3 linked regions of the Arabidopsis thaliana genome follow. The protein of the gene in region 1 binds, or shares a complex with, the protein of each later gene. Each region holds a gene or a part of one and is shown in the gene's direction. Other genes may lie near its edges.

Region 1 (7,627 bases):
TACAAGTCTTTCCATTGAATGTTTGGATGGGTTACTTAAAAGGTGATATATTCTTTTCAGGAAAGAGTTTGATAATGAAAGGGAGAAGGATGAAGTAAAATTTGCTAATTACCAACCTCAGAAGGGATCTGCAAATCAGAAGAATGGTTCTGATCACAAAAACAATTCTGCTTATGAGCCAGAGTAGGGGTTTGACTGTTGCTATCTAATTACTTGTCTTTTCATGCTAATAATCCTCTTGATCTGATTATGGCTATTTTATCGTATTGTAGTTATCCCAAGGGTTTGATCATTTCATTCACCCTCAAGCGTTCAGCTGAAGAGGGTACCACGGAACAAAAAAGTTCTGAGGAGCCAACTGATAAGACAATGGAAGAAAGTGAAACAAAGCCAGCAGATACTCCTGATGCTGATAAAGAAAACACTGGTGAGGTTCAGGCCGAGGGAGCAGAGGATGAAGATGATGAGAAAGAAGAAAAGGGTGCTCTAGCCACCCATAAAGATAATAAGGATGTTGTCTTACGTGAAGATCTTAAGGCTGTTTTCGGAAAATTTGGTGATGTCAAGGTACTACTTGAGTTTTACTTAGCTGTCTGTCAACATGAATCAGATTCAATATCTCATATAACTGACATCATTTTCACTGATTCCTTTATTCTTTTTGTTGTGAAGTTTGTTGATTTCAAGATGGGATCTGAGACGGGTTATCTTAGGTTTGATGAACCTGAAGCATCCCAGAAAGCCCGTGCAGCAGCAGTATTAGCCAATGAAGGTGGACTAGCCGTGAAGAATTTTATTGCTGTCCTAGAACCTGTTATTGGTAAAAACACCTTTTCAACTTCAATCTTATCTTATAACTAAACCTTGTGTTCTGCTTTAGTTAAATGGTCACTTGTTTATATTGCTCTCTGTCAGGCGAAGCTGAAAAGGAGTATTGGACTCTCCTACGAAGCAAAGATCGGTTTGACAAGGGTGGCCGTGGAGGAAGGTGAGTTCATGTTTTTGTTCTGGTTTCTTTGTTATGATTTTGTTTCAAATGAAGTTTTTGTTTGGTTCTTCAGATAATAATATACTTGGTCTATGCAGGGGAGGAAGAAGAGGAGGGAGATTCGGGAGAAAGAGGGGATCAGATTCACCGGGTGGTCGCTGGAACAAATCTCAGAAGGTGGAAGCATGAGAGATTTCGCTCGTGACTGCTTCTGTTTTTCAATATATTTCTAGTTGCAACTTTAAATTTAATGTATCGACTGGTGACTCGTGATGTTATAACTAGAAATAGCTGCTTATTTGGCAAATTTTGGTTTAGTCATATTTGGTATTGTTTTGTTTAGCTTTATGTGCCTTCTTATGCACACATCTCTTTCCTTAATTATTTTAAATCGATGTTTAGGAAGCATTCTAAAAGACAAACTATTAATATTAACTGCTAAAAGTATATTCCTGTAAATTCTACAACTGTATCAATTGACTCACTGATGATGACACTATTTTACTTGAAGTAGTTAAAATTAATTTTGAAAATCAAATAGTTTTGGTATTCTTCTTGGTCTTCTCGTTTGACTTTGTCTACATTGTTATTAGGTTTTTATGCTGATTTTAGAATTAGCTGTTACTGGCAATTTCATCTTCTTCCTTTTTAATGAGAAAAAAACTCTTCTTTCATACAAAGAATGCTTTGCCGTTGTTTAGAAGAAGAAGCAACAGAGAATCTCGAAAGAAAAATGAATGAAGAAACGTATAAATAAATAAATTGAACTTTTATGATATGAGAGACTAAAAAGCGAGATTCAGAGATTGAAATCAACGGCTGAGATCACTTTCCTTTTTGTTTTGATCTCTCTCTCTCTCTCTCTCTCTCACTTCGAATTCCGTCCGCCTCTCCATGTTTGAGTTTTGAATACCTCTCTCTCTCTCTCTCATTCTCTCTCTCTCTCTCTCTCTCTCTCTCTCTCTCTCTCTCTCTCTCTCGACTTCGATTTCGATTTGTGTTCTTCTTCTTCTTCATCTGGATTCTCAGCGTCTTAATTACTTCAGATTAATTTTGGAATTCGTTGATCTGCAAGGTGTGAGCTTTACTCGTATGACCTCGTCTCCTTCTCTTATTATGGTCACATTTTTGTTAGTTTTCACGGAGACTTCTTCCTGATTTTTCAAAAATCTACTCTTTGAACTTCTCTTACTTTTTTTCGTATAAAGTTTCGATTTTCTTCAGATGATGTTCGAAGCTTTTTTCTCGAGGTTTTTGTTTTGGGTTCTGAAACTAATTCGGGCTTCTTATCTTAGGTTTTTTTGGATCCAATCTCAATATCTAAAGCTACCTTCTTCATTCTGTGAACTTCTTCCTTGTTTTGACTTTAGTTTGCTCTTTTGCTGTGAAGCTAATGCTGATTCTTAGTCTGAGTCCGACTGTGTTTTTAATTTTATGGTTTATCTTTGTTTCAAATTACAGCAATGTGCTTCGCTTATGATGATTTCTAAGACATATCAAAGAAACGGACTTTGGGGTTTTTCATATTGCTTTCCTTGCTAACTATGAAGCGTGAGATGAAAGCACCTACTACTCCACTAGAGAGTCTCCAAGGTGACCTCAAAGGAAAACAAGGGTACGCTTACATCTCTCTTCCTTTTCTTCTATTGGGTTTCAATGTTGAAGTTGGATTGCTTTTGGCACCAAATTTTGCATTCAACTAGACATTCTCAGGTTAATAATGATGCAAGCTCTTTGTGACATTTTCATAGGAGGACATCTGGCCCTGCTAGACGATCTACCAAAGGACAATGGACACCTGAAGAGGTGCGTTCCGTTCCTGTGTCTTTTTTGTTGTCTATCTGATTCTTCCATGCTTCATATTATGTATCCTGGAACACTGCCTGAGCTTAATCAGTTGTCTCTGTAACACCCTATTGTTGCTTCGCACAGTTCCATTTAACTAGTTGACATTAGCTATCCTTTGCATCTATTGAAGAATTCGTCTCTATGAAGTTTTCTGTTGTATCAATTCTGTTTTTCTGGATCAGGACGAAGTCTTGTGTAAAGCTGTTGAGCGTTTTCAAGGAAAGAACTGGAAGAAGATAGGTAAATCGAATAGCAAATTCTGATTTCTTCTTGTTTTCCCAGTTTGTTTTTCCAGCGTATGTTAAGATCATATCAATAATAATCTACTTTAGCTGCCATGTTTATTTGTAGTCTTTAGTTAGTACGGTGAAAGTAATATGTGGTTTTATTTGATTCACCTTTTCAGCTGAATGTTTTAAGGATCGGACTGATGTTCAGTGTCTTCATAGATGGCAAAAGGTCTTGAACCCAGAGCTTGTGAAAGGACCGTGGTCAAAAGAGGTGATTTTGTGAATTGCTTTATATGCTTTACTCGGTTTGAGTCTAATACACCTTAGCATTTGTAATGTGTTCCATGACATTACTTTTCCATGTTTTGAAGGAGGATAACACAATAATTGACCTGGTTGAAAAATATGGGCCAAAGAAATGGTCTACTATATCTCAGCATTTACCTGGGCGCATAGGAAAGCAATGTAGGGAAAGGTAATGCAAAGGCTCTCAACTTCTTTCCGATAAAATGATATTTACATACATTGGGTGGTACTTCAACGCACATAAACAATATTGTGGGTGATGTAGGTGGCATAACCATCTTAACCCTGGGATTAATAAAAATGCATGGACTCAGGAAGAGGAACTGACTCTTATTCGTGCGCATCAAATTTATGGGAATAAATGGGCAGAGCTTATGAAATTTTTGCCAGGAAGGTAAATATGTCTTTTCCATGGGTCCTAGTATAACAACATAGGTGTAACATGTCCGTAAAATTGGTGGCCTCATAAATGAAATAATAGGTTTTTGATGCTGGTAGTTGTGGTCTATCGTTCCTGCTTTGGTGATTTGCTTATTTTTTCTTACGTTCCTGTAGGTCAGATAATTCGATAAAAAATCATTGGAACAGCTCAGTTAAGAAGAAGTTGGATTCCTACTATGCATCAGGTCTTTTAGATCAGTGTCAAAGCTCGCCATTAATTGCCCTTCAGAACAAATCTATCGCTTCATCTTCCTCGTGGATGCACAGCAATGGAGATGAAGGTAGTTCAAGGCCAGGGGTTGATGCTGAGGAATCAGAATGCAGCCAAGCTTCAACTGTTTTCTCACAATCAACCAACGATTTACAAGATGAAGTTCAACGTGGAAATGAGGAATATTACATGCCTGAATTTCATTCAGGAACGGAGCAGCAAATCTCAAACGCTGCATCTCATGCAGAACCGTACTACCCTTCCTTTAAAGATGTCAAAATTGTTGTCCCCGAAATTTCTTGTGAAACAGAATGTTCGAAGAAGTTTCAGAATCTTAATTGTTCTCACGAGCTAAGAACTACCACAGCTACGGAGGATCAATTGCCGGGTGTATCTAATGATGCTAAACAGGACCGTGGTCTAGAGTTATTGACCCATAACATGGACAACGGTGGAAAAAACCAAGCACTTCAACAAGATTTTCAAAGTTCAGTAAGATTAAGTGATCAACCTTTTTTGTCAAACTCGGACACAGATCCAGAAGCTCAAACTTTGATCACGGATGAGGAGTGTTGTAGGGTTCTTTTTCCAGATAACATGAAAGATAGCAGTACATCTTCTGGTGAGCAAGGTCGGAATATGGTTGACCCTCAAAACGGCAAAGGATCTCTTTGTTCTCAGGCTGCAGAAACCCATGCTCATGAAACTGGAAAAGTTCCAGCTTTACCGTGGCATCCTTCAAGTTCTGAGGGCCTGGCGGGTCATAATTGTGTCCCTTTGTTGGATTCAGACTTGAAGGACTCACTTTTACCCCGTAATGATTCCAACGCTCCTATACAAGGTTGTCGCCTTTTTGGAGCTACCGAATTAGAATGTAAGACTGATACAAATGACGGTTTCATCGATACTTACGGACATGTAACTTCCCATGGCAATGATGATAATGGTGGTTTCCCAGAACAACAGGGGCTGTCATATATTCCCAAGGATTCTTTGAAGCTAGTACCTTTGAATAGTTTTTCTTCTCCTTCTAGAGTGAACAAGATTTATTTTCCTATTGACGATAAGCCGGCTGAAAAAGACAAAGGAGCTCTTTGTTATGAACCTCCACGTTTTCCAAGTGCAGATATTCCTTTCTTCAGCTGTGATCTTGTACCATCAAATAGTGACTTACGGCAAGAGTACAGTCCCTTTGGTATCCGTCAGTTGATGATTTCTTCAATGAATTGTACAACTCCGTTAAGGTTATGGGATTCACCGTGTCACGATAGGAGCCCTGATGTCATGCTTAATGATACTGCCAAAAGTTTTAGTGGTGCACCATCCATCTTAAAGAAGCGGCATCGAGACTTGCTTTCACCTGTGCTTGATAGAAGAAAAGACAAAAAGCTTAAAAGGGCTGCGACTTCCTCCTTGGCTAATGATTTTTCGCGCTTAGATGTAATGCTTGATGAAGGAGATGATTGCATGACCTCTCGTCCGTCAGAGTCTCCTGAAGATAAAAATATATGTGCCTCCCCTTCCATAGCCAGAGATAACAGAAATTGTGCATCAGCTCGGTTATATCAAGAAATGATTCCGATAGATGAGGAACCAAAGGAAACCTTAGAATCAGGTGGAGTGACTTCTATGCAAAATGAAAATGGATGTAATGACGGTGGTGCTTCAGCTAAAAATGTAAGTCCGTCTTTGTCCTTGCATATTATCTGGTATCAGTTATAAAATCCCAGTCATCTCATTCTCTGATGTCTATAGCTGTAAGGTGCAATGTCTGGTACATGGTTATTGAGTCTATTAGTGAACTTCTTGTTGCTTAACACATCATCTAGTATGTTGAATTCTCTTCATGTGAGATCGTATCAATCACATTTGCTCAAACAGATAGCATCTAGTTATTTCAGCTGTCTTTGTAGAGGATTATAGTTTTATAGTTGGTCTAAATCTCCATAACGTAATCTTATAAGCTTTAATCTCTAAATCTCTTACTTGCCCTTGTACCAGGACCAAGAAACTTCTGGAAGTTTTTTTGAGTTACGACTGTGTTCTCCTGGTATGACTCGAGCTAGACCAGATAACAAAGTTAATGCAAGTGCGAAAGATCTATCAAACCAGCACAAAATATCATTAGGTGATTTTCCAACAGAAGAAATGTCATCAGAACCTCTATGCACAGTGGACTCTATTCCTTTATCTGCAATCGATAAAACTAACACTGCAGAGACCAGCTTTGATATTGAAAACTTCAACATGTAAGTTTTACTTTTCCTCTGTATGTGTTTGATAGCTCATTTTGCTATTGAATCATATTAGCTCGAAAGTTCTAACCTAAGTTGTCTTGGTACAACTCGTTTTCCAGATTTGATGGAACTCCGTTCAGAAAACTCCTTGATACCCCATCACCTTGGAAATCTCCTTTACTCTTTGGTTCTTTCTTGCAAAGTCCAAAGTTGCCTCCAGAAATCACATTTGAGGTAAATATGAGATGGAATAAATTTAGTTTCTGGATGTTTTACTTTTTGTTTTAAGTTGAAGCGCCTGTTAATGGACGTATCTTCTTTGTTGTTTATCATTTTTTCTTCCCAGGATATTGGGTGTTTTATGAGTCCCGGCGAGAGAAGTTATGATGCCATAGGACTGATGAAGCATTTGAGTGAACACTCAGCTACGGCATATGCAGATGCCTTGGAAGTTCTGGGTAATGACACACCTGAATCGATACTCAAGAAGAGACAGCTGAACAAGTCCATTCAAGGGAAAGAAAATCAGCACCAGCCTCATGATCAGCTTGGGAACCGATCCCAGGTTTCAGCTTCAACTTACACCTTATATATCATACAAACTCTCAATAAGTTTCAAATTGATCAAGTCCTCTAATCAATACACCTGGTCTAGCTTAATGTTGAAATTGGATCTTGAACTTGGTAGATTAAAAGGAATAACAGTTTTGAGTTTATAAATTGACGTACTGTGAACCAATTCTCTGTGGAATGCAGGTGGAGTGTCGCGCCTTAGACTTCAGCGATTGTGGGACACCAGGGAAAGCTAAGGTACCTTCGGCTTCTCCGGGAGGCTACTCAAGCCCATCATCTTACCTTTTGAAGAGTTGCAGATAGAGAAGGGTGGTTTTGTTCATAGAGTTCTGAAGGGAGTCTCGCCTTCAATTTTTTGATCCCATATGTGTATGTCTTTTTTATTCCCTCCTTGTCCAATTTTCTTGTTTCTAATTTTTTTAAATGTGTAGATCTCTCAACTCTGGACATCATACCATTGATTAAATAGCGAAAAAGTAACTTGTTCTCAAGTAATTAACTTGTAACTCCAAAAGTTCTCGTCCTCATGATGAACCAAGTGATTTTCTTCTTGTTCTGTTAAATGCTAAGAATTTTTCACAATGTTCAGGTATGATACTGATTCATAAAACCATTAAAAACCAGCAAAGTTTGTATTATGATATTGTGTAGACACAGATTCTTCTTTTATAGGACTTGGAAGTTAATACTAATCCTTTTATGATGCTATTACTGTTGATCTAAAGGTTATTGTACAATCAAAATGTATTGTTAGGCCTATACTACAAACCCAAGATTCCTACAATGAACAATG
Region 2 (5,396 bases), on another chromosome or scaffold:
ACTTTTATATATACTAATTTTAAAAAAAAAAATCTTCATGGTGTACTACGGGTTAAAATCTAATAGTTGTAGAAAACTCTTAAGCCTAAGGAAGTTAATTACCTAAATGGTAGGAGTTATAATAAAAATAACTTCTTACCAAAAAAACAACGTTAGATAACTTGTAAGATCACTTTTAGAGGCTATAAATTCCTCCTCACCTTTTCTTTTGTATAAAAGTAGAAAAAAGGAACCAAAGTAAACAAATAAAAATGCTATCGACTATTGTAAATTCTTTTTTAGTGTTTCCATATTTTTTTCATTTTTTATTTACTGTTTTTTTCTTACTGCACCATGACAAGTGAAGTAGATTTCGCGTTAGTGCACTTGAAATTTAGGACAACAAAAATGCAACTAGACAAACTTTTTCTGTATGAATATCTAGACGAACTTACATTTATATGGATAATCTTGTTTTGTTTGTTTGTCACAGTTAAACTAAAATATAATATAATTTTTCTGATCCATGGCTACAATAAATTTTAAAAATGTGGATAATATGTCTTCACAAATATTTTTCTAAATAAAATACTCTTTCTTTTTTTTGGCTAAAAAGTTGTCACATGCCATAGGGACGAAAATGTGTGTTTTACATTGTTTGGTACACCAATGTTTCAGTCTCTCAGATCTAAACTAATGGAAATTACGTTGATTTAAGCCATCATGATATCATGAAGGGATTTTTTCTCGTCATATTTGTCCAGTTTTACGAAAACAAGTTAAGGTATCAAACTTATGCGATACGAAAACTCTTTGAAATAACTCAATTATATTTACATTCCTTTAATATGTTTTGTTTATTCAAAATCATGATTAATTAATTCAGTATTTTGAATTCCTATTTTTGTTACATGATGCAATTGGTAATAATACAATGAAAAAAAAAACAGTCCCTTGTGTAGCGCTATACACCAAGTTTGTGTGTTTGTCGTCAATGCACCCATCGCTTCCTTATAACCTAATATAGGTTTTGATTGGTAACCACTTTACAAAACGGTACTAAGCGTTACAAAGTTTTACTCTTAGTTTATTGTACAGCTTAATACCTGTAGTAGAGTTAACAACTTTTGGTTACCAATCAGACCCATAAACATATATTAAGATAGACAAAAAAACATATATACATATATAGTACGACTTCATAAAAGATGGTATAATTTTCACATAATTTGATATTAATTAGATATCACTTACTCAAGTACTCAACTATGCAGAAGCACTCTTCATTCTTCAATTGTTTTTATGAAAATATTAAAGAAAAAAAGCTAGAAAAATGATACCAGAGAAACAAAATGAATCATGGGTTTAGAAATTCATTCTAATTTCTACCTTTTGGCAAAGACCATGAACTCTAAACTACTTTTTGGTATGATAACTGGACCAAATTTGGGCCGTTCATAGAGTTTATTGGTGCAGATGGACCTCGGAGATTAGGACTCCCCTGTAAACTCAATCTAGCAATGCCGAGACTCCGTATTTATAGATTCGTGAACCATGAATGTCGATCATTAACATAAAGCTACAAAGTATGAAGCTCTAGAAGATATGTAAACGTCGTAACATTATTAAGCCCAATTCAAGCCCAAGACCAAGCCCAAGACCAAGCCCAACAAATAGTCAAAAGAGTAAAATAATAAGCGGAAGAAGTTAGGCGGGGCTTAGGCAGAATTCGAAACTCTCTCCAACTTCTTTCGCCCACCGCTCTTTTAACATAATTCCAATATTTCTTTCTTATATTAATCTTTTTAATACAACAAAAAGACACTTTTACCCTTCCTCTTCTTCCCGCTGTTTCCTCTCTTCTCTCTCCATCTTTTTCTCCATCTTCCCTCTTCTCCTTCTTCATCTTCCCCCACAAAAACCTAAATCACGATTCTCCAAAATCGCTTCAAAAAATCACTCTAAATCCCATCTTCTCTACCACCGGAGATACACCGCCGTTACATGGCCGCGACATCAAACTCAGGCGAAGATCCGACTCTCTCTTACCATCACCGATCTCCTTTTCGCTTCGAATTACTTCAATCTATCTCTTCCTCTGATCCTCGTTACTCTTCTCTAACTCCTTCTTCAACGAATCGACCTTTCTCAGTCTCTCAATCGCTTCCGAATTCACAACTGTCTCCTCTAATTTCACCTCACTGGGACGATTCTTACTCTCAAATCACTCAGAAAGTTGTGAGTCTCTTCGTTTACTCAAGTCCTCGTAGATTCCTTCTTTGATTTTGATTCCATTTCCGAACTTGATTTTGCGATAGCTAGGTTTAATTCTGATTCCCAAATTTCGCGAAAACAAAAATTGAATGAAGTTTGGTTTCATTAAGGGAAACTTAATCCAAAATTGGATCTCTAGCTTTCAATTCTCTAATCTCAATTTGCGAATTTAGATTCGTTTTGGTGATTGTAATGCTATTGAGTTGATCTTTTCTTAATTTGCAGCAGAAGAGTAGAAAGAATCATCGAATTCAGCTTGGATCTATTGCCAACATGTCTGGAGGAGAAAGCATAGATATAGCTAAAGTAATAGTGAAACAAGAGTCGTCTCCTCAAAATGTTAAACGTGTATACAACAAGTCAAAGGGTGGTACTAAACTGTTAAAGGCTGGGAAACGAATGGCGAATGGCGGTATCTGCTTTTTCTGATCAATCTCTTTGGCTAGCTCTTAGAATGTGATATGTATTGAAAATAAGAATCTGTTTGTATTCAGCATTGTTGTGAATGAGTTTTTTTGTGCAGAAGTGCAAAATGGTGGCTTAAATGGAGCTAGTATTAACTGCCGTTATGACAGTTCTTTAGGTAACTAATAGTTCTGTTTACTAAGGTTCATGTTTGTATGGAGATAACAACTGTAATTGTATCGGTGTCTCTTTTGTTTGATAGGGTTGTTGACAAAAAAATTCGTGAAGTTGATCCAGGAAGCTGAGGATGGAACACTTGACCTTAACTATTGTGCAGTTGTTTTGGAGGTATGCTAAATGTATCTTAATATTTAAGTTAAAAATGTATGTCTCAACTCGTAGAAGATCTAATTAAGAACGTGGACTAAAAAGATCACTCACCTTTATAACCCTTGCCTTAACTGTTTGATATCTCCCTAGTTATCTTCATCAGCTTGTTAGGATCTCCTCTTATGTGCTTACGTGTTCCTGCGATCCCTCTTAACAGGTACAAAAAAGAAGGATATATGATATTACAAATGTCCTTGAAGGAATTGGATTGATAGAGAAAACTACAAAGAATCATATCCGCTGGAAGTAAGTACACAAATTTTTTCTTTCTTGGATACATTGCAGCGTATATAGCTTGAGTTCGTCTGACTTTGTGTATGCGCTATTGATGCAGGGGTGCTGACAATCTTGGACAAAAGGACCTGGGAGATCAAATTTCTAGGCTTAAGGTTCATTGTGACAAGCATTTTCACGTGTTTTCTTTGTCGTAGAACTTACTGCTATGCAAATAATCTGTCAAATTCATGATTTCATTATTTTTCTGTCTTATAGTTTATTTCACACAGTTATTTTCAAATTCCCCATTACTGACCGGTTACATATCTACGTATTTTCAGTCAGAAGTAGAGAGTATGCAATCTGAGGAAAGCAGGTTGGATGATCTTATAAGGTTGGTTGCTTGTGTTCTTATATTATGTTTGGAGACTTATCCATTGTTCCTTTCCCACATGGTTTGAAGATCATCATGTTATGTATCTCCAGGGAACGACAAGAAGCTCTCAGATCCTTGGAGGAAGATGACTACTGTAGAAGGTATTCGTCAGTTTATTTGAGTTTCATCTTTTTGTATATACACGAGAGTGTTGCTAAGATCAATGATGGAAATAAACAGGTACATGTTTATGACGGAGGAAGATATAACGAGTCTCCCACGGTTTCAGGTCCTCCCCAACTAGTTCTTGAAAATCATCTTATGTTTTCCTCAGTTATTTAACATACTAAACTGGTAGTCCTTATACAGAACCAGACATTACTAGCAATTAAAGCTCCTACAGCTAGTTACATCGAAGTTCCAGATCCTGATGAGGTGAGCGTTTTTAATGCTTTCATATTTGCTGTACAGTTGTAATATAATGTGTCACAAAGTAAAGCATCTGTTTTTGTTCACGATAGATGAGTTTTCCGCAACAGTACCGGATGGTGATTAGGAGTAGAATGGGGCCGATTGATGTCTATCTTTTAAGGTACTTAGTTACACATTCCACTCTCTGTGTCTGGTCTTATCTATATATTTGTCAGTCAGTGTTAATAACTGGGAACAAACATGATCGCAGCAAATACAAAGGAGACAGTGCGGAAACAAGCGACAAGTTGGGTAATGAGTCTGATCAAAAAGCTCCAGTTGGAGTAGACACTCCTTCCTTGAAAATAGTAACTTCAGATACTGATGTAAGTATTTAGATCCACTGATATGGGTTTTGGGATCAGTCTCGCATTTCGTATGTTGCGATTAAGTTGAATTTTTGGTTGTGTATTGCCAGTTAAAAGCAGATTACTGGTTCGAGTCAGATGCAGAGGTGAGCCTCACAGATTTATGGAGCAACTTCAACAGCTGAGAAACAAAGTTGTTTGAAACCTCAAATTCCCAATTACTAGGATGAGGATGAATTTTCTGTTACATTTTACTACCCCTTTTGAGCCTGAAATCCTAATAGATTTTTTTCCTTATAAAAATAAAAGATGCAATATTTTAAGGTCATTCAAGGGATGTGGCAATTATGTGAAAAAACTTGTACTCTAATTAGATATATAATTATACTTAATGGCCTTTTGCATGTCAATGCATACATCTGTTTTTGTAACATGTGTTTATAATGAACTTTGAAATTAATCTTTTTGACACTTTGGGTCCATAGGTTACAATTTGCATGTTCAAACAGAAACAAAGCATCATTTACGAACCACCTGATTTGGACAATATCAAACGTTACTTCTGTCAGAATCATGTCAAAAAACGAATGGTTCCAAATTGAAAACTAGTTAATCTCTCATCTTGTTACATTTAGTTTCAAAGCTCGAAGTCTTGAACGCTAGTAGAGAAAAATATCTTGTGGAAAAGAAGTATCAACTTTACAAAGCTTGATGTCATTCATGAGTTAGATCATATCATGTTTGATGTCATTCATGAGTTAATCATGACCACATTGGACATTGATATCTTGGTGGATCCCTAAATATGGTGCTTGTTTGGATCCCAAGCAATACTTTTCGTTAAATGGCATAACTCTTGCCTAGAAGTAACTGCCTAAAACAGTAAAACGTACCCTAAAAAAAAAGGAATGCCTTTCAGAGGATAATTTTCCTAATATACATTGTTGGATATAATTCTGCTATATAAACTCACCCAC
Region 3 (6,273 bases), on another chromosome or scaffold:
TAGCGATACGACATTGGTTTAGCTCTGCAAAACGCTCTATAGTGTCTGTCTGGTCAGAAATTCTTCGACTCACTTTCGGTTTCTGATGTTTTGTCTCTCTGATTGAAAAAGGTAAAATCTCTTGAATCTATATCATATCGCTAAGCTTAATTTGCTGGCTAGGATTTTACCTGATTTTTTGGGTATATAGTGATGATAGAAATTTGAAGTAATTTCTCCAGTTTTCTCATTGATTTAGGGGTTTTAAATGTAGACTTAGTATTCATGAATGAGTTGATTTCTAATTGATATTATCATGTTAATCATCTTGAAGAATTGACCTTGAATTGGTGGTTCATAGATGTCTCATCTTGTACAATTTATTTGCTCGAGGATCTTATGATTCTTGGACATAGTGGAACAAAGATAGCTTTAAAAATGGACGCTGAGATGATTACTTGGTTGATGTATAATAGTTTGGTCTCTTAATTAAGGTTTTGATGGTCCTTAAGGTTAGTGTATAGCTTCTATAGAACTTTTTAGTCTCTCCTTTTAGATGGTTATGACGAATTGACGATTGTGTTATTCACGAGATAATTTGCATCCGAACATGTAAATGTTACACACTTGCAATATTGGTGTGCATGGAGAAATTATAGATTGTGTTAAGTGTTAATCCCAAAATGCATCTGCTAAAAGTGTTGCATAATCATCTTGTTGACTAGATAACTTGTTTTTGTGGTTTGGACAATGTGACGATACTATATATGATGTATGTAAAGATCGGGTTTTGCAAGATGGGAAACAAAGCTACAACGGTGAAAGAAGAACGCGAAGAGATCCATTTGAAGATTGTACCTCCATTGGACAAAGTTTTTCTGCGTTGGCTCGCAAGAGATCTCCAGAGAGTTCATGGATTCAAACCGAAGAACAACACTCGTGCGATCACTCCTCCAGATAGCTACATCGAGTTTATGCGGTTAAATGGATCGCTTGATGTAGATTTAGATGACCCTGATCTTGCCCATTTGTTCAAGTAAAAAGGGGTTCTTCTATTGTTGTCTCTGTTTGTTATGTATGAAGCTTTCAAAGTCTTAGTATCTTTTTTGATTACTCATACAGTCATACTTAAAGCTTGTGTTTTGGAAGCTCAGTCTATAAATATATATTATCTTCTCTAAACAGTATAGCATTCATAAGAGATCCAAGTGTCTGCATTCAGACGACACATGTTTCTATTGTCTTGGTGCTATGATTTGGAATCCCTATGTTTCGAGGTTCCATTTAAAAAAGTTGTTAAATGATGAGACACTCATGAGCATAATTTTCATCAATATAGTTTTGCCTCACCTATGAATTAAAAACAAAAAAACGTATAAGTTCGACAGATTTTGACGATAATTGCTCACACTTAACGCGTGTAACGGATGCTGCAACAGTTTGATGAAATTATTATGCTCCACTTCTTAACATGAATAAATCCAAAATTCATTTTTTTCCCCTCAATCTCAAGGAAATAAAACTGTATCCAAATTAGTTACATAGCTTTATTAACTTCGTTGACTTTAAAAAAAAAAAAACTTACTTAAAATTTTATAATTTTGTATTATATATAAAAATAGGATTATTATTATTTAGTAGAGAGATATTGGTAAAAAGATTTGTGTACAAAGAGAGAGATAAAGAGCGCTAATTCCCTCCACATCAGTATTCAGAACCAAACGCAACTCATTCCCTCGTTTTCTCTCTTCCTCTTCCACCGTCTCTTTTTTTTTTTTTTTTTATAATCCTTCCTCTTCTTCATCTTCTTCTCCTCTCCCGCTTTTTTTCGATTCGCCGATCTCTTCACATTCTCTTCCCGGAATCTCCGTAATTCCCGCCGTAGATCTGCTTCTTAATCGTTATTGGGATCTCTGCTTACCGGAGATCCGAGTTTCCGTGACAATTTTCGCCGTTTCTTTTTTTTTTTGGGGGATTTTTTATCGAGATTCGTTCTTATGTCTGAAGAAGTACCTCAACAATTCCCATCTTCTAAGCGGCAGCTTCATCCTTCTCTTTCTTCTATGAAGCCTCCTCTAGTTGCTCCTGGTGAGTATCACCGGTTTGATGCGGCGGAGACTCGCGGTGGTGGAGCTGTTGCTGATCAGGTTGTCTCTGACGCGATTGTGATCAAATCTACTGTAAGTCTTTTTTCTTCTCAATTTTGCTTGTGAATTTTGCTTTATAATTCTCGTGTTTTCGATTGTGTGTGAGGTTTGGTTTTATTGATTATGATTTTGATGATGTCGTTGCTTTAGATTTTGATGAGAATTGTGTCGGGATCTGCTTCTGTTGGTGTTAATTGCGTTTGGTCTCTTTTGATTAACCTTGTTTGTAGTATTGGAATTAGCATTGCAAGTACTTATTGAGTAGTTTAGTTGCTGGACTTAGGGTTTGTGGTGTTACTGTTATTGCTATTTAGAGCAGATTCATGCACTTTTGTGTTTATGTTTAGTTAAATTAGTTTCTGAATTTTGCTATGTTGGAATTGGTAAAAGTTGTGTCTATGCTTTTAGATTTCAGCATAGTGACAGTATGATGCTGATAGGATTTGATTCTGTTCAATTCGTTGATGTATTTAACTGTTCAATTTTGGTGACTTTATTGGCAGCTGAAGCGTAAGACAGATTTGGTAAACCAAATAGTTGAGGTCAATGAATTGAATACCGGTGTTCTTCAAACACCTGTATCAGGGAAAGGGGGGAAAGCCAAGAAAACTTCTAGGTCTGCGAAGTCTAATAAGTCTGGAACGCTAGCTTCTGGCTCTAATGCAGGTGAGTTTGGTTCTAAATGCTCTGTGTTAGTATGCCAATGAGAAATATTTCTTATGTGCTCATCTGAGCTAAATCTTCTTTAAAGAGTGGAGATATTGCAATGTAGTGAGAAGGATCTTTTGTGTTGGCAGGTTCTCCTGGAAATAACTTTGCACAGGCCGGTACTTGTCGATATGATAGTTCGTTAGGTAATAACTTATTTCATTAACTAATGTTTAAAAAATGTACTTTTGGATAATAAGTTTTTTTAATGATTTAATCTGCTTCAGGTCTTTTGACAAAGAAATTTATCAATTTGATAAAACAAGCAGAGGATGGTATTCTTGATCTAAACAAAGCAGCTGATACTTTAGAGGTGACATATTTGAACTCTAGACTCCCATATTGATGTATTACTTTCTGTCAAACTTAGCTGTATGTTCCTGTTGATGCAGGTACAAAAGAGAAGGATATATGATATAACCAATGTGTTAGAAGGAATAGGTTTGATAGAGAAGACGCTTAAGAACAGGATTCAGTGGAAGTAAGCATGTCTTAGAACTGTCAAATCTTGGATTCCTTCCATTTGATGACTCATGTGTGAGCGACAGTACTCTGAATTTTCTTGTCTGTCTTAGGGGTCTCGATGTCTCAAAACCAGGAGAAACAATCGAAAGCATAGCTAACCTACAGGTACAGAACATGCCTATATATTCTTTACCTTTTCATTGCACATTTCACTGCGAACTCTGTTATGCAATGCTCAGTATTATCACCAGTTTTATTATTGTTTTCACGTTAAGGGTATATCTTAGCTTGCATTGTCTTCTTGAACATCGTATGAATCTGCATTAGTATGATTCTTGTTATGCCTGTTTTCTGAGAGCTAAATGTGTTAGGAGGTAACTAGGATACTAGTAAATTTACCATACACACAAACATCGATGACATGTAACCACAAGCTCTGTTTTGTATACCCGTACTGGCACCTTTGAATGATGAGTTTCTGTTTTATGTTTGAACCTGTTGAATAAGTGGAAATTGGTACTGCAGTTTTTCTTCGATCTCAGTCACTTGCATTGATTTCTTGTTTTGGGTTTTTGGTTCGAAAAACTATTCATGTTTTATAATTCCTGTTACCAATCTTACAGGATGAAGTACAAAACCTCGCAGCTGAGGAGGCAAGATTAGATGACCAAATCAGGTATTTTCGCAGATAATTTTCCTTCCCTTTTCTGCTGTTTTGTATCATCTTTTTGAGAGTCGACCTGGTTGCAGAGAATCACAAGAAAGATTAACAAGCTTGAGTGAGGATGAAAACAACAAAAGGTAAGCGTCCCCTGCTATTTCTTCTGCCGAAAGGTACAATAAAACATATCTGTTTGTTCTGACGCTCCACTTTTTAGGTTACTGTTCGTCACTGAAAACGACATTAAGAACCTACCATGCTTCCAGGTCTGGTCTCCTTCTAGTAATTACGTGTTTCTCTTTGCCTTGCATTCTTCTCACTGGGGAAACATGTTTTTGTGGTGCCTATTTTAGAATAAGACGCTGATAGCTGTAAAGGCACCGCATGGAACAACTCTTGAGGTTCCAGATCCTGATGAGGTAAGCTTAAGAGCGCACAAAACCAAATGAGCGATGCACTGTCTGTAACGATTCTCACCTCTTATCCTGCCATTAATCAGGCTGGTGGTTATCAGAGGAGGTACAGAATCATTCTGAGAAGCACAATGGGACCAATAGACGTGTACCTAGTCAGGTAACACTGTCCTCAAACGTTATGCTTGCCCTGGATAAATCTGTAACATGGAAGTGAGACTGACATTTATATTGTGCTTTTTTAGTCAATTCGAAGAGAGCTTTGAGGACATTCCTCAGGCTGATGAACCTTCAAATGTTCCTGATGAACCCTCTAATGTCCCTGATGTACCTTCAAATCTTCCATCAACATCTGGTCTCCCTGAGAACCATGATGTATCTATGCCGATGAAAGAGGAAAGCACCGAAAGAAACATGGAAACACAGGAAGTTGATGATACGCAAAGAGTTTACTCTGACATCGAATCTCATGACTTTGTCGATGGTATCATGAAGATTGTTCCTCCAGATTTGGATGTAAGTCCCAACTGCTTCCTCAGCTTAAAATTTTCACCAATGTACATAATCACAGTCTGGAAAAGTAACCATATCTAAAAAATCATGCTTGACTTAATTCATATTTACCTGTATGTTACATTATATACAGATGGGTGTAGATTACTGGTTTCGATCAGAGGTAGGCGAAGTCAGCATCACAGACATGTGGCCAGATGAATGTATCCTTGATTTCTATCACTTTCTGTGATTTAATCTAATCTCTCTTTGAGCTTTTGAGTTTTTTCCTCCCCAAATATGATATCTGTTTAGAGCTCCTTGACTCTTTCATCATTAGCTGGACCAGACTGGAACCAGATGATTACATTTGATCAAGACCACGCTGGACCGAGCGACAACAAAATCTTGGAGCAGCCACAAACTCCATCGAGCCCAACACCAGAAGAATCCACTGCTACGAGATCACCTACAGGTAGCTGAAGTTACCATACCACATTACAAGCACCACCATATATCTGTACATAGAATCTGATTTCGGTGAAACCAGAGTTAATGTTGTACTTGTACAGTAGCTGCATTGCATTATCATAGAATAGAGATTGCAAAATAAAAGTAGAGAAACCAACCCCTTCGTTGTATTCTTCATTTTTTTTCTTTGTTAGCTTCTCAGGCTTAATATAGAATTAGCCTTAGCCCATTGATTTCTTAATATTGGTCTTGTTCATGTGAAACTGCAAAACCTTTTAGAGTTGTAGACGGGTGCTTAGTAGTTTTACATGCTCCATTTCCGGTTTACCAAAAAGGTAACCAGATCGAAACTAAAACATATTTCCGTTCATCAAAAATCTTGACGAAAACATATTGGTTCGGTTGTGGTTTGAGAGATTTCTTTTTGGTTCAAATCGGTTTCTATGTCCAATCCTTTGATATCACTCGAGATAGTTTCTTACAAATGATATCATATATAACTTTGAATTCACCTCAAGATGGTATTATTTTCCTTAAAAAAGAAATCCATCAAAATTGTGCATCTCCAAAGCAATGAGCAATGCTGAATCTCCAAGCTAAGTTAAATGAAAAAAAGGTTCCTCTTTTAACAAACTTTCCCACACCAACATCCTCACTCAATAATCTCAACTTGTTTTCTCTTCCTCTAGTAAAAAAAAAAATGTCTTTCAAGAAGATGATGAAGTATATACTCAAAACCATATTCAAACCCATTTTTATGGCATGCGGTTGCGGCTCTACCGTTCCACCTTCCTCTCACAGCCACTACACCCCGGGACCACCGGTTTCTCCCACGGTTTTACGCAGCCCATGTCCTAAGATCGATGAGAGCGTCGCGATGGCTAAAGAATCAATCAATCCGTTCGAAGATTACAAGAAGTCGATGAATCAGATGATC

Evidence for each region. Proteins that work in one complex are often made in the same cells at the same time.
Region 2: PC-MYB1 (region 1) and ATE2F2 share a complex: the UniProt entries of both Arabidopsis thaliana proteins name them as parts of the DREAM-like complex.
Region 3: PC-MYB1 (region 1) and E2F1 share a complex: the UniProt entries of both Arabidopsis thaliana proteins name them as parts of the DREAM-like complex.

Annotation. Positions count from the first base shown.
Region 1 is NC_003075.7:15,788,507-15,796,133, forward strand, and holds PC-MYB1 (Homeodomain-like protein), read left to right. Parts: upstream 1-1,626; 5' UTR 1,627-2,063; exon of another isoform or gene 2,064-2,078; intron 2,079-2,449; 5' UTR 2,450-2,532; coding exon 2,533-2,603; intron 2,604-2,739; coding exon 2,740-2,794; intron 2,795-3,018; coding exon 3,019-3,076; intron 3,077-3,242; coding exon 3,243-3,337; intron 3,338-3,437; coding exon 3,438-3,541; intron 3,542-3,637; coding exon 3,638-3,766; intron 3,767-3,927; coding exon 3,928-5,701; coding exon of another isoform or gene 5,702-5,746; intron 5,747-6,025; coding exon 6,026-6,273; intron 6,274-6,380; coding exon 6,381-6,495; intron 6,496-6,607; coding exon 6,608-6,826; intron 6,827-7,017; coding exon 7,018-7,137; 3' UTR 7,138-7,410; downstream 7,411-7,627. Other genes in the region: La1 (La protein 1), read left to right, coding at 61-183, 273-567, 673-820, 916-988, 1,087-1,177. UniProt on the Arabidopsis thaliana protein: Transcription factor that binds 5'-AACGG-3' motifs in gene promoters. Transcription activator involved in the regulation of cytokinesis, probably via the activation of several G2/M phase-specific genes transcription (e.g. KNOLLE).
Region 2 is NC_003070.9:17,632,954-17,638,349, forward strand, and holds ATE2F2 (winged-helix DNA-binding transcription factor family protein), read left to right. Parts: upstream 1-1,743; 5' UTR 1,744-1,983; coding exon 1,984-2,217; intron 2,218-2,478; coding exon 2,479-2,665; intron 2,666-2,776; coding exon 2,777-2,836; intron 2,837-2,920; coding exon 2,921-3,006; intron 3,007-3,205; coding exon 3,206-3,294; intron 3,295-3,382; coding exon 3,383-3,437; intron 3,438-3,605; coding exon 3,606-3,658; intron 3,659-3,750; coding exon 3,751-3,801; intron 3,802-3,880; coding exon 3,881-3,929; intron 3,930-4,009; coding exon 4,010-4,075; intron 4,076-4,161; coding exon 4,162-4,232; intron 4,233-4,322; coding exon 4,323-4,437; intron 4,438-4,529; coding exon 4,530-4,604; 3' UTR 4,605-4,856; downstream 4,857-5,396. UniProt on the Arabidopsis thaliana protein: Involved in transcriptional repression. May act by repressing E2F-regulated genes in mature differentiated cells, but is not an antagonist of E2FA.
Region 3 is NC_003076.8:7,358,773-7,365,045, forward strand, and holds E2F1 (E2F transcription factor 1), read left to right. Parts: upstream 1-1,762; 5' UTR 1,763-1,976; coding exon 1,977-2,159; intron 2,160-2,629; coding exon 2,630-2,792; intron 2,793-2,923; coding exon 2,924-2,980; intron 2,981-3,061; coding exon 3,062-3,147; intron 3,148-3,226; coding exon 3,227-3,315; intron 3,316-3,409; coding exon 3,410-3,464; intron 3,465-3,922; coding exon 3,923-3,975; intron 3,976-4,049; coding exon 4,050-4,100; intron 4,101-4,177; coding exon 4,178-4,226; intron 4,227-4,313; coding exon 4,314-4,379; intron 4,380-4,459; coding exon 4,460-4,533; intron 4,534-4,618; coding exon 4,619-4,889; intron 4,890-5,019; coding exon 5,020-5,089; intron 5,090-5,205; coding exon 5,206-5,348; 3' UTR 5,349-5,733; downstream 5,734-6,273. Other genes in the region: AT5G22210 (aspartyl/glutamyl-tRNA (Asn/Gln) amidotransferase subunit B), read left to right, coding at 777-1,019; OFP10 (Ovate family protein), read left to right, coding at 5,917-6,273. UniProt on the Arabidopsis thaliana protein: Transcription activator that binds DNA cooperatively with DP proteins through the E2 recognition site, 5'-TTTC[CG]CGC-3' found in the promoter region of a number of genes whose products are involved in cell cycle regulation or in DNA replication.